Notamacropus eugenii: one gene and its partner. The protein of the gene in region 2 purifies or fractionates together with the protein of the main gene of each other region. This does not show direct contact. Links are inferred from orthologs where the notes say so. Each region holds a gene or a part of one and is shown on either strand. Other genes may lie near its edges.

Region 1 (6,880 bases), on a different chromosome or scaffold from region 2:
ACTCATGCCCTAGATTCTTATTTCAGATCATTTCAGAAATTCAGAAAAATAATATTAGCACATAACTGGGGGGGGGGGGCTCAAATTATACTTCTAAAGCAGAAAATTGACCAAATAGGTTACTCTAACACTTTGGTGACCACTGAAGCTGGAAGCTAGGATTCTTGTTCAGATGGTTTGGAATTAGTCTGGATCAGAAGCTTCAAACACTGAACCTGAAGGTGGAATACAACACTCTCAAGTGCAGCTAGAACTAGATTAAAATGTAATTGGGAAATATTGAGCAAAATAAAAAAAAATACAACAGAACATAAATAATGTTGATATGTGGCTTTCTGAGTCAATATACAACCCACAGGAATTCTTCTGTAGTGGTCCCATTTCTATCTGAGTTTGACACTACTGAACTAAATGGTCTTGGGGGGTCCTGGTTTCAACTCTGAAAATCTGGGATTCTAACATCTAAATATTCTAATACAATATATTCTCTACTACATATCCCGAGTTCTTGTTCACAAACTTTTTTGAGGTTCAGTATTCCTTTTTCATCTAAGCAAACCTTAAAGTGTCACATAAATACTTGCTATTGAGTTGTCATACTCCCCATCATTAAAAATTTAAGGAATAGTTTTATTAATAACAACGAAAGATGATTATTTTAAAACAATGTTATGGTTATTTTTAGTTACTTGGTTATAATAAATTTACAAACTAGCTAGAGCCAAGCATATAAAGTGATTCTCTATTTCAAGATGCTCAAGCATATGGACAAAGTACAAATTAACTACCTCTGCTTTCACTAATATGAAAATGTATTTCAGCATTAGTAGTAAAACTATTCAAACGGCAAGAACACAGTATAATTTGCATTGAATTGAACTTCTGGGCAAAAAGGCTAAAGTAGGAGAAAATATTTTGAGGAATTCTTTTAAAAAGATAGATTATACCTGAACTTTCCTATAACTTTATATGGAAACAGAAAAATCAAAGTGGGTGAGTCCAGATATGTAAAGGCTCAAAAAAAGGAAGAGGAAAAGGGTGTACAGAGAAAATTTCAAGGGAAAAAAAGCCCTTTTATTTTCTTTTCCCTAAGTGAAAAAATTTGTTTCAGAATGACTTATAAAGGTAAGGCTATCATACATTGCTACTGGGCTAAATTAAAAACCATGTGATAAAGAAAACATAATATACAAGATATAATTGACATTTACATAGAGTTTTAAAATTTTCAAATTATTTTTCATATTTTATTTATATTTCAGAAGAACGGGAGCAGGTACAGCAGATATTGTCCTTATTTTACAGCATAATCCTTTGGCCACAGTAGGCCCTTATTATTTGTTGATTTTGAGCCTTAGTTTCCTCATTTGTAAAATAAGACGTCACAACACCTACTTCCTAAGGTTGTCTTTAAAGATCAAATGAGATAGTGTGTGTGAAAGGTTTTGCAAACCTTAAAATAATATAGCAAGATGTTTGAGGGAAAGGAATTTTTTTGTCTTAGTATCTTTGCACAAGTACTAGGTATATTACTTCAAACTTAATAAAATGCTTACTGAATTTTCATAGTCTCAGACAGTATCAGAGAACCCAAGACCCTCCTGATTTTCAAGGTCAGTGCTAAAATTCTTGTAAAAGATGGTGCAGTTTGCACAAACCCAGGTAAACAAAAGCTTCCTTTTACAGGATGTTATAGAAGTAAGAAAGTAGCATCTTAAGAAGAAAAATTGTAATCAATGAATTTGGAGATGGAGGGCTTTTTCCCCCTCACAATCCTTTCTGAAAAAGAATGTTTTCTGTATTTGCTAGATGTTATAGTGGGCACCATGCCCAGAAAAATGTAGCAATTTGGCTTTACTATAATGTTGGTTTCTTCTTGTTCAAGTTTTCTCCTGTTTCTAAAACAGGCAAGGACTAAGTTCAAAGCTCAACAATTTGTAGCTCCATTTAGGATAATTATCTAAATAGTAAATCAAATTAATTTCTAAGTGTTTGAATTGAACTATACTTTTAAAGTTAGATTTGCCAAACATGATCATTTTAGAAAACAAATCAAGTTGGGCTTACATCTTAATGTCCTACACAAATGGCTTTTGGAAGAATAAAAGTGGATAAAGTATTGCTTAGATTTCAACTTTCCCCCAAAGCAAAATCTCCAGAAATGTTATAAACAGTGTGACGACAAATTATCACTGACACTACTTTTTTAGAACAGTTTCCACACCCACGCATATTAAAGGATTACTATGTGTCAGGCACTATGGGACTAAACTAAACGTAGGAGATACAAACGTAAACAAAAGAACGGTGCTCCCTGCTCCCTGTCCTCAAGGAGCTTATCCAGCCTAGCATATCTCTTTCTACATTCCCAAGGGACTCCGTCTTCGCCAGGCCACCACGGCACTCCCACAGTTACCTAAATTGATTTGCTTAAAGGGTTAACTTTAAAGCACTTTGCAATGGTAACGACTAAGAGGAGGAGAGCAGTAGCAACAAGTTACCACCTCGTATTTCTCTAGCAGTGTATACACTTTTTCAAAGCTACCTCAACACATTCGTTCTCTCGTTAATCCTGACAATTCGGGCAAGGAGTCTAAAAACAAGTCACTTGCGCAGCCTCGTCTAGCGGACAAACTATGTCCCTTCAGAAGACAAAGTAATGAATGGGGGAGCATCTCCTAAAGCTGACACGCTCCTGCTCCGTGTCGGCACACCCCCTAGGCCAGGATGGACAAGGGGGCAGGGGGGTGCACACGAGGCTCTTCCCCACACAAAGTCACAGAGATGGCTGGCGTCCACCGCGAGCGGCGTGACACAGATACACCCTCACGGAGCCCCGCGGACGCTCACGGCAGGGGCGGAGAGCTCCCGGAGGATGGAGGGAAGCGCACGGGGCGGGGGCTCCCACTCACCTGCGGGGCCGATTTCCATTCATGGAGCTGGGCAGGGCTGCTCTAGGAGAGAGTTGGGCCCGCTCCGGCTCGGGAGGAGACGAAAGGAGGTGGGTGGCGGCTCGCTCCGCGCGCCAGTCTCCCGGGGCGGCGGCGCCTCCTCCTCTAGGGCCCCTTCCCCGAGCTGGCCCTCCTCAGCTCCGCCGCTCCAACAGCGCAGGAAAGGCCGTCAGACACGAGCTGGACGGGAGAGCTAGGAGCCGCCGTCCCGAACCGTCGTCGCCGGCAGCCGCTAGCAAGCGGACTCGCTCAACCGCCGCGGCCGCCGACTTCGCCGCCGGCGCCCCCCCGGAAGCCCTCCGACGTCACTTCCGCAGCCAGTTCCAGCCCGGTGCCTCCGTTGCCTAGCCGCCCTTTACCCTGAATGAATACTTTATTCCGGCGCGCGCTCTAACGCCCCGCAACTGGGAGGGGAAAAGGAGGCGGAGCTCGAAGCTCCAGGAAGCCAGATTTCCTCGTGCCGGAGAAGGGCGGGGACGGAGGTGAAGGCAGTGGAGAATGGGTGTGTGGGTAGGGGCGGAGCAGATGGTAATGAAGGGGCACACACGGAGGGGGTGTGTCCTCGCTTCCAGGCCTCAGGCCTGAGCAACTTGGGGCATGTCCCGTCGTCCTCAGGTGTGCCGGGGCCAATCGGAAAAAGGAAAATTCTGGGGGCGTGGCCTTCCTAGGGTGCGGAGCTCTCCAAGGACCTCCCATTGCTCCTTGCTGACTGACAGGCGGGGGGCGAGGAAACGTAGCTTTTTCAGACAGCTCCCCCCGCCCACGGCCTCAGGATTGGCTGGTGGCCAAGTCTGTCACCTTTTTCACGTCTCTGATTGGACGCTCCGAGCCTCCCCCACCGTTTATACAGTTACACTTCGGGTTGAGTAGCAGGAACATTCCACCAACTGCTACTGCCCGGCCGTTTAACGGTCTCCCGCCCACCTCCCGCGCCTGGCTGGGCTGCCCAGGACGTTGCCCACCCAGCAGCTTGCCTCGGCCCTGAGCTTCCAAGGCAGGGCCGCCATGACAGTTTCTCCTCTCAGTCATCTCTTAGGCGGAGAGAGACGTCGGCCCCGCCCCCCCCATGCGGGTGAGTCAACGAGCTTATTGTGTGCTAGGCCCGGTGCCAATTCCTAGACTTTGGCAGGTCCTGGTCATCCTATACATTCAGTAATTGTACGGAAGCTAGGAGTACAGCGGGCTTCTCTTTTCCTCCTCGAATCCCCAGCGCCTGGTACATAGTAAGCGCCTAATAAATGCTTGTTGCGTGGATGTCAGCGCTCAAAGGGACCGACTCATCTAGTCACTTTACAGATGGAAAAACTAAGGCCCCTTTCTCAACAACACGGTCAATTCTTCTGATCCTCTCAGCTGCCTGGAATTGGGAGGAACGGATCCATCAGCGGCTCCCTCAAACGTTCCTAAAAGGGGGGGGGGGGGGGCAGCATTTCCGAGAACGAGAACTGCTGCCTCAAAACCCATTCTTGGAACGAAGAGGAATGAAAGGGATAGACGCTGGCAACCCAACCCGACCGCCCTTTTACCCCAGTGTCGCGGTTCTCCATTCCCACCCCCACATACCAACTTTTAATTTTTCTTAACTAAAAATCTTGGATTGAGCAATAAGTGACTGAGGGAGTTTCAAAAACACACCCCTCCCTTGGCCAAGCTGGTCCTCTGGGAAAAGGAACTTGGGAAATACAGCACCTGCACCGGACTGGAATTCTACCACAGAATGAGGACCGTCTCCAGGCTTTCAGTCATCTTTTCCCTGTTGTTACACTTCCACTATGGAACACTGTTGATGGCTTTGAATCTCTTTCCCTACAGGATTCCCCATTCTCCTAGTCATGCCTCTGAGTCTTAGCAAAAGGGAGAGTGGTTGTGACTGCTGGATACCAGCTGGCTCCTAGAATGGAATCCCTGGATTCCAGGCATAGGGAGTTTGTGTTAAACTGATAACTTGTTTAATTCGGCCTCTTTAGACTAATGGACCGTAGCACCACCACCATTTGGTGTTTAGGTTGGAGAGGACAGTATCGCTGTCTTCAAATTCCTGAAGGTCGTGAGAAAGATTATTCTTTCTGGACTGAGGTGAAAGTTACCGGGAGGCAGGAGTCAGCTCAAGATAAAGGAAGTACTATAGCTAACAACAGGAGCTATTCAAAAAAGAAATGCACTTCTTTGGCAGGTCACCAGGGAGGGTCTTCAGAACAGAGTCACAAAGACCTTGGATGCCTTATTGTGGCATGAAGGTGACCCTGAGTTTTCAAAGGCTCCACCAGCAGGATATGAGCTCCTGGAAGGTTCTGCCAAACTAGAAAGGTTTCAAGGACAGGCCTAGTGATGTATTTGTTTGTCACACAGGATCCAATCTAGGTAAAGCTGAAGTTCATCATTCATTCATTCATTGTAGGGTTGACCATCAAGTGATGAATTTGTTGATAACCCCAGTTCATGAAATAGACCACTAAGATGGAGGAATTAAATTGTGTATAGGTGGAAAGAAAGTCCATGGCAATAAAATAATGAATTTAGTATCTAATCCAAAAATCATTTATTGTGTACCTACTATGTACTAGGTCCTAGGGTTACAAAAACAAAAAGTAGTCCCTGGCCTCAATGAGCTTACAATACAATGGTATTGAAGTATCCAAGCAAATAGAAGGACTCACACTTCAGGCAGAGAGGATAGACCTCAAGGACTTCTTGAAATTAAATTTCTAACTGATTTTTTGAGATGTTTAGTTTTCTGCAATAGAAATGAAGTGGATAGGAACTGGTAGTTTTCAAAGGCATTTTTTTTTTAATGAAAAGCAAAACTGGAAGTGGCTGTTTGGTGAATCTGCTAAACTGACTATGCCTTAAAAACACAAGTGTCTGCTTTCCCACCACCTAAACTTTGAGACTGGGGGTGGGTTGCTAGACTACAGGGAAGAAACTTAGAGGGGAGGGCAAGTGGCAAAGAAATTCATTTTATTTTGCTGGGTCCCAGGAGACAGAACTAGAACTAATTTATAGAGGCAGATTTTGACTGGTCATAAGGAAAAATTTCCCAACAATAAGATCTATTCAAAAGTGAAATGAGCGGACTCTGGTTGGGTAGTAGGTTCTTCTTCTCTTGAGAGCTTTAAGTAAGAAAGTTGGATAACCATTGGTTGGAAATAGTGTAAGAAGTAACTCTCAATTAGGTATGGATTAAACTCTGAAATTCCTTCCAACTTTGTGATTGCAACCGAAGAAATAAGCTACATCAGCCCAGCCTTATTTCCAGCCTGACAGCAGCAGTCACCTACTGATATCAGCTCTTTCCTCCTTCCCACTGGCATGTTATTAACCCAAGAGGAACACTACAGAAAACAGAAGTAATGGTAAAATAGGGACTAGGCTGAGTGCCCTATGAAAACTAAACCATCTCAGCTTCCAACAAGATGCCCATTGTGCCCAGGAGAGATGAGGAGGGGATAACCAGATAGCTGCAGCTAACAGTTTTATATAGACACATATCAAAGTGTCTTCTCATCACATACACACAACTCCCCCCGCCCAGTCCCCCAAGAGCCAGGCTCTGGCCCTGAGATGACTGAACATGGGATCTTTCAACCACTATATGGGGGCTGGGACTGGATCTGGAGTAGACTCATTCCTCTTCCCCTGGGTCCAACTGCTGATGCTTGCCTTGAAAGAATGAAAAAGCATTTATTAAGCACCTAATATGTGCTACTCACCATACTAGGACCTGGAGATACAGAATTCCTAAGATTCTTTCCTGTAGCAGGTTTAAAAAAAAAAAAAAAAGAAGAAGCTCTTCACACAGTATTTCTCCAAGATCTGGCTAGGGTCCTTTTCCCTAATCCTACATCCCTGAAATCTTATAAAATATGGGATATTTCTGCTGGGGAGAGAGGTTAGGGGCTGATCAGGAAGCCAAAGTGGACCCCAGGGGC
Region 2 (7,755 bases):
GAAAACAGGAAACTTAACAAGAGTCCACATTTTTGGTGCATTCACATTGCTCTTGATGATCCAAAATTAAACATTTGAAATAACTTTAAGGAAGGTCCTACTTTTCTGAAGTTTAAAAATCATCTGCATGATAATAACCAGAAATAGCCATCTCTTCCGTTTGAAGTACACCTATACTGAAGGAAAAGCCAAACTATGGCAATACAATATATGCCACTCAGAAGCTACTAAACACCTGATGTAGCACTCCTTGAAGGCACTTCACTTACCAAGACATTTGTACACCATTTTGAGTTCCGAACTTGTAATTCACATCTGGAAATAGTAGATCATTCAAATGGAGGTTTAGTTGGGATTTTGTCAAAGATTTGAAACAATTCAACTAATTACATACAGAATCACAGTCAAAGAACAATATGATAGGTGCTACCCACCAAAAAGAAAACTCCATTTACTCCAATCGTTCACTGGATAAACAACCTTTATTTCCAAACTTCACTTTAACACACAAGTGGTATCTTAAAACAGGAAATCCTACACTTACATATGCGTGCTTAATAGCTCTGGATCAATTACTTAAAATCCTATTTACAAATCACAAGCGGAAACAAATGTTCCTTAAACAAGTGAAATTGAGGTACTCCGAGTAACGTTATCTTTTAACAGTACAGATGTTGCACGGCTCATCTTTTCTCATATACATCACTTGCTGCCCACAATGCCGTTAGGAAATTCACCTGAAGAGATGGATATGCAATAAGATCACCATCATCAGAAAATAAAATCCGAGTTTTAAATTTCTCGATGCATATGCAAACGAGATGTAAAAGCCAGTTTCCCTTAATTTTATATTCGACGCGAGTCTATAATGTGAAGGCTTCTTTTAAATGGGAACAGATTTTCCTCAAATCCATACTGCCAAACCAAAAAAGGGGGGAAAAAGGGCGTCTTTTATTTGTAAATGATAGATTCAAATCATACAACTGCCCATAAACGCAGTTCAATACATAGAAATTTAAAAACGCATTTCCAAATAACAATAATGAAAATGCCTTTTTCTATCCCCAGCACTGCTTTTTAAATAAACACGAGTGAATAATAAAAAAATCCACCCAGGGATCATTTGTTTCTGGCCAAACGGCAAAGGAAAAACCGTGATGCCAGCACAACAGACCTCAGCTTTCCCCCCCCTTTTCCCCAAGCGTCTGATGGAATTGCGGAATTACATCCTTGTGGTAAAGCAACCTTCGCGAGCAGCTTACCCAGCACCTCCCACCCAGACACCTCAACTTGGCCGAACAAAGACATTCTCGGCATCTGGGAGCAAGTTGGGGCTCCCGAGGTCGGACCTTGCGGTGCGCAGGGCTCCCAGCCTGGGGAGCATCCCCGGGTCCAGCCGCACTCACCTCGGCTCCTGGCCCAGCGGCGGCTGCAGCTCGCGGCTCCGGCAACGCAGGAGGCTTAAACCTGTCAGGAGCCGCCCGGGGGCTTCGCTGGATCTCCGGCGGCAGAAAGAACCCTTGCCCTCTCCGCTCCTCGGAGTCAAGCACCGGGGCCAGGGGCAGAGGTTCCCGCCTGCGCGGAGTCCGGCCCGGGCGGCGGGTGGGAGGTGGCGGCGGCGGCGGCAGGGAGAGCAAGGAGGCGGCAGCGGCGGGTCCGGGCAGGTCCAGGTCCTCGAGCAGCCTCGACTAGCCCTCCTCCTCAAACGGGGGAGCCCGAGCCGCAGAACGGCAGCGGCGGCGGCGGCGAAGCAGCTCCGCAGCGGACCCGGGCAAGCGCAGGGCCGACTCCGCTCCCACCCACGGCTCGGGCGGGCCTCCCAGGGGGCGTCCAGCACAGCGCTGCAGGAGAGGAGACAGCTCCGGCAGCGGACAGGAGATGGAATCAATGAGAGGTGTTCACTGCTGCTGGGCGGCGGCGGCTGCTGCTGCTGCTCCCGGGGCCCTCGCGCTGAGGTGCGGAGCTGCCACCGCGGCCATTTTGTTGCTCTAACTGACAAGAACACCACCTCCTCCTCCTCCCTCCCTCCCTCCCTTCAGACAACTGCCCCCCCCTCCTCCTTTCCCCCTCTCCCGCCAGACGGGGCGCTCGCGCCCCCTTCCCCGCCCCTCTGCGGCTTCAAACAGGAAGTAGTCCCGGTCCCTGGCACGTGACACCCACCGTATCTGCATACTAGAAGTTCTGGCCAATCCCGGGTCTCGCTCCTGCTCCGCCCACAGAGCGCGTCCCCTCCACCCTCGACCACTGGTTCCTCGGCGTTACGCCACGCCTTCTCCTGCCTTCCCCTCCCTAAACCGTAGCACCGGCCTGGTCTTGGCGAGCCCAGAGGAGTCTTATCCATCTTACTCCCCATCTCCCCTCTCCTCCCCGCCTCCGGGGTACGAGGGAGCATCCACGCAGTTTCTTCCTCTCTTTCCTCCATTACCAGCTCTCCCCCCACTCCCCCGCCCCGTCCTGGTGATGTGACTCCGTGTTATCTCATTGGACAGGAAGGGAGAGGAGGCCCTGTCTCAACATCAGCTCCATTTAAAATCGATCCGAACGGTCCCCGAAGCAAAAGCTTGGAGGAGAGAAGGGCCCTGAGGTGGAGCGCAGGATATTTATGCGACGGTACAGCAGCTCCAGTAAAGCACACATCCCCGGGGCCCCAAGCACGTTCCCTCCCCCCGCCCCAGCCGACCACACACGCGAACCCCTCCCCCATCACCCATGCACACGCATGAACACGCATGCATGCCCACAGACCCCAAAGGAAGCCTCCCCCTGCCCCCTTGGCTGAGTTACCCCACCAGGTACATTCCCCCCCATGCACTTGCCACCCAGTCCCGACTCCCTGCCCGCGGCTCAAACCAACCTCAACGCCAAGCAGCCCCCGAGCAGACATCCATGTTTTGGCCGCGACACAAGCACGCTTCCCTTCTGCCCACCCCGGGGTCTGCGTACGCGCCCGCACTCGGGCTAGGCGCGGCTGCTGCCTCCTTCGCGGAGGTGTCCTAAGCCTAAAAGCCGCCTCCTCCCCTCCCCCGCTGTTCGCAGAGGGTCGATTGAACGCAGGAGGCACTCAAATGTTTGCTGAATGGAAACACCGCATTTTTATTTTAAATTCCAGCTAGAGCACGGAAGAATTTCACGAAACCAACAATTTTCTCCATTTTTTTCGCACAGCATTTGGGGCAAACGCCTTTCCGCATCCCCGGGCTCAGAGGCACTACTTTAAAGCTTAGGTAACTCCCCAGGCTTCGGGGAGGGACTACAGTACTGTCCATCTTTGAGGACTTCCTAGCGGATGAAGGAGATAACGCTAATCGAGGGGCAGGATGGTTCGTGCCTCCTTTAGTCCCACTTCTCCCGGGAGCTTCGGGCGCTCCTGCCTTCTTGGGGCCATTTTTTACCTTTCCCATCCATACTCAGACTCTCCCAGAGCTTTCGAAGGTGCTGTCCGGTTTCTGGTTCTGCTGGGTGGCCTTTCTTAAAACCTTCACCAGTCAGTAAGAATTGAACCCCGACAGCGTCTCTTGATTCCTCCACTCACCATTTTATCCACCTTCTTTTCACTCTTGTCCTCGAAGAGCTCACATCCTTCCTGTTTCTGTAAAGTTGGCATACAATTACAAGATACTCCCCAAAAGGAGGGTATAGGATTGAAGAACACCTACTGAGCCAGAAGGACTGTATCTGCACTGGACCCAGACATGCGGTTTGAAAGGGGTTCGGTTCTGGGAGAATCCAGTCTCTAATGAGTAGGATCTGGTTCTCTTTTCTCACACTTCAGCTTATTAGAGCTAAAGCCCAGTGAGGGAGAAAGGCCACAGGGAGGAAAATTTACTTGTAGCTTAGGTTTAGGCTCACACGGTGGATTTTCCCAAATTTGGGGAGTAGAAAGGTACCCTATGCATAATATGAATCTTGTATGAGGGTGGGTATTTATTTCTTATACACACACACACACACACACACACACACACACACACACACACACACCAAAACACAAAAGACTCTCATAAGGGCACATTAACAGTAAGAATTAAACCAAACTATCTGTAGGGCTAACCATAAAACCATTTGTGGAATTGATTATTAGGCATTTTACAGTTCACTTCGACAAGTCTGATAAAATGGACCAAGTTGGAGCCTCTTATTGCTTTTCAATCTCAGTAAAACTCTGGAGTAGTTTCCTGGGATTCCTTGTTCCCATCATTTAGTTCTTTCCAGGATCTTTGAACCTTTGAATTCACGAGGTCATCTTACCTGCATATAATCGTCTTGGGAAACATACTTATTCACCTGAAATAAGGAAAGGAAACAAAATTGGAAAATAAAGCCAAGGTCCCAAACACAAGCTCAGATAAGTCTCCCTGCACTAGTTGTCATGTGAATGGGGTCACCATGATGTTGGGGTGAAGCCCTTCCTTATCCCATAATGGAAATCTCAGTTACATGATGCCATCTGCAAGATGGAAGGGAGAGAAAACCAGATAAAAACTCTCTCCCTTTTACTGAAATAGTACCCCACCCCACCACTTCTATCAGTAGGTAGAAAAGGACCATGGAATTATGCAGGGGTTTCTGCATCTTTATCAAAGCAACAAGTCCTTTCTGCAATTATTAGAGGAGTGGGGAACCTGAGGTCTCAAGGCCGTATGTGACCCTCTAGGTCATCAAGTGCAGTCCTTAGACTGTATCCAAACTTCACAGTACAAATCCTCTTAATAAAAGAATTTGTTCTGTAAAACTTAGACTTAGTCAAAAGGCCTCACCAGAAGACCTAGAGGGCCACATGTGACCTCGAGGCCGCAGGTTCCCCACTCATGGTCCACATGGCTGCTAGCAGTCAGGGACTTTGCCATATCAAATATCTGCTCAGATGTTGAGTTTCTTTGTCCCTGAAATTCCTGTAAGTTTCTAGGAGAGCTTTGGGTTCAGGTTGTCTGTAATGGCACCAATTCAACCTCTACTACATGGGCAATGTAACAACTTCATATCTCAACCATATAAAATATTAACTAACTTATGAAATTCTTGAAGATTCCTATGTTTGACTTGTGTTAATATTGTAAATAAGTAGAATTTAAATTGACCAAAAAAAGAATGAAAAACATAAGACCAGACTTCTACTTTGTCCTGATTAGATGCCTTTTCTATGTGGCTTCAATTTTTCAATGTCTCATTCCCCCCTTCCTTAAAATAGAGGTAGTAATCCCTTCCTCTTTTTATTAACATGTAAATTGTTTAGCTTTTCATTAGACAGTAATTTCTGGAAGACAAATATGATATCTTTTCTTTTTGGTATGACTTTCATGAAGCCTAGTAAGTGTTCTGCACATACTGCAATTCCTAAGGGAATCAATTATCAGGGAAATTCCTAAGCAAAATTGTCCAGTAGGTAGGTATGTGTTTACTACTGTCCTACCTCTTTATCAGCAGTTCTTTCCTCTAGTCCATACCTTCAACTTCTGACTTAAAAGTCCTAATGGCAAAAGTATTAGCTGATAAAATAAGCTGGAAAAATCTTTTAAAATAAAATGACAGGCCCAAATCCTGTCTTTCATCTTAAAAACAACCAATTGCCCAAGTGTAGTCTGAGGAAGTACAGTTTGACAGCAGTTTATGCAAAGAAGACCTAGAGATTTTAGTGGACCAAAGCTCAATGTGTACAAAAGTGTTACAGAGCTGTTAAAGAGCTAATGTAATCTCAGATTACATTAAGAGATGCCTAATGTTCAGATCAAGAGAAGTAATATTCCCACTGTATATAAATGAACTGGGTGAAAGGTTTATAGATCATGTCATATCAGAAACACTGAGAAAACTGGGAATGTTTAGTGTACGGAAGTAACGATAAATGTGACATAATATCTTTCTTCACATGTATGAAGGCCTGTTACATGGAAAGGGGAAATAGACTTTCTGTATTACTGCAAACCATGGTACAAGAAGGAATAAGTATGAATTGCAGGAAGTCAGATTTTGCATTAATATAAGCAAATACTGCATTGTAATTAGAGCTGTCCAACAATGGCATGAACCATCTAGTAAGTGAGCTGAGCTCTTGTGGCTCAAGTCAAAGGTGTAGAAGGAATTCTTGCATGGTAGGAAGAATGTCTGTATTTTGTTCTAGCATCACTAGGTCCTTTTTGATTCTGATATTTTATTATTCTGTAAGAGTTTTTTATTTTTTAAAGTTTTTAAATATTTAAAGTTTTTAGTTTTATTATTCTTTTAAGAGTTAAAAGGAGTATGATGGGAGACAACACATGTACAGACTCTCTCAGCTTGTTCAGCTGTTGCAACTTATCCACATAGAAGATGCTAGGGAGTTTACTTCTGGGGAAGTCTTGACAACATATAAGGACAGTGCCATGAAGAGACTGTGGAGCGTACATGAACATTCTGTAACTGGTTCTGGTTGGGTAATTGTGTTGTTGGAAGGAGCTTTTTTCAGTTGGTTGCATATCTAGAACTGTTAGTATTCTCAAAAAGGCCTGAATCGGTTTCCACTATCCCTTTCTTTCATTTGTGTCTGAGGAAGCTAAGTGCCTGTTTCTTTCAGAGCATTCAGTAAAAGACCATGTAGTAAAGGGCTCTGAGGCCATATGTCACATACCCTTTCCCTCCAACCCCAAAATGGGCCTCTGTTTTTGTTCTTAACATTCTTGTTTTAGTCATTCCCGGTTCTCTCATTCTTCTTACCCATTCTAAGTGAAGGGAATGGAGTTCTTGTTCAGGAGAGTGATCTACAGGAATCCAGGCTGAGTTTTGCACTTATTGAAGTATTGATGGCCTTATGAGCAAGGAATGATGTTTTGAAGTGATCTTTGGTATTACAGTACATTGGAAGAACTCATCCAGAAGGATATGGAGTTGGTGGGACCAATACCATGTAGGAACTGAGCTAAGTTTTAGACTTATTCCTAGAATCAGTAGGTGATACAGTGGATAGAGCACTCCATTTTGAGTTAGGAATACCTGAGTTCAAAAATCCAGCCATCAAACACTTACTAGATATATGACCCTGGGCCTGTGAAAAGACTTGGAGTGAAGAGGTGGAGTGTCAAATACATGTACTAACAAGTAAGCTACTTTGGCTAGAATGATTATTGAGAAATCAATGTAGAAGAATAGGTTGGAGTTAAAAAACTGTGAAGCGTTTTAAATGTCAGGTAGAAGAGTTTGTATTTTATCCTAGAAGCAATAGGGAGTCACTGGAGTGCTTGAGAGGGATAGGAACAGGGTCAGACATGTGCTTTAGGAATATCAATTTGGCAGATGTGTGGAACTTGGGTTAGAAAGGGGAGTAATTGGAAGTAGGGAGGCTAATTAGGGGTTCAATGGAAGACTGAGAAATCTGGAACCTTAGGAGTAAGGTTAAGGCTAAGATTAATAGACAATAGCTAATATTTTTATGAATCTAGAACATTATGCTATTTCTCTAGAATCGACCCTAATATGAGTCATACAGACATAACTCTCAACCATACCATCTAAGCTACCTTCCATTCAGACCCTTCTGAAAATACTTTAATTTTCTGGGGTATAGATTACATAAGAAGCATGCTTTTGTGAGAAACTGTGGAATTAAGCTCATTCTTAGCAGTAGAGAGTAAGGAATCATTAAAAAATTTTCAGCAGTGGAATGACAAAGTCAAAATATGCTTTGAGAAGATGATCCTGGTAGAAGGATATAGAGATTGGAAACAGGGAAACCAAGTAAGAGGCAATATGTACTGAATATTGTGATGGCCCTCTAAAAGAGAC

What was found. Proteins that work in one complex are often made in the same cells at the same time.
Region 1: the proteins of TNRC6C (region 2) and AGO3 purify together in Homo sapiens (affinity purification with mass spectrometry; 3 studies listed by BioGRID and IntAct, with this or other methods). This does not show direct contact. The link is inferred for Notamacropus eugenii from reciprocal best matches to the Homo sapiens genes TNRC6C and AGO3.

Annotation. Positions count from the first base shown.
Region 1 is NC_092876.1:83,736,003-83,742,882, forward strand, and holds the start of AGO3 (protein argonaute-3), read right to left. Parts: upstream 3,013-6,880; 5' UTR 2,932-3,012; coding exon 2,913-2,931; intron 1-2,912.
Region 2 is NC_092873.1:319,097,493-319,105,247, reverse strand, and holds the start of TNRC6C (trinucleotide repeat-containing gene 6C protein), read right to left. Parts: upstream 3,019-7,755; 5' UTR 2,885-3,018; coding exon 2,855-2,884; intron 1,533-2,854; exon of another isoform or gene 1,407-1,532; intron 1,078-1,406; exon of another isoform or gene 1-1,077. UniProt on the Homo sapiens protein: Plays a role in RNA-mediated gene silencing by micro-RNAs (miRNAs). Required for miRNA-dependent translational repression of complementary mRNAs by argonaute family proteins.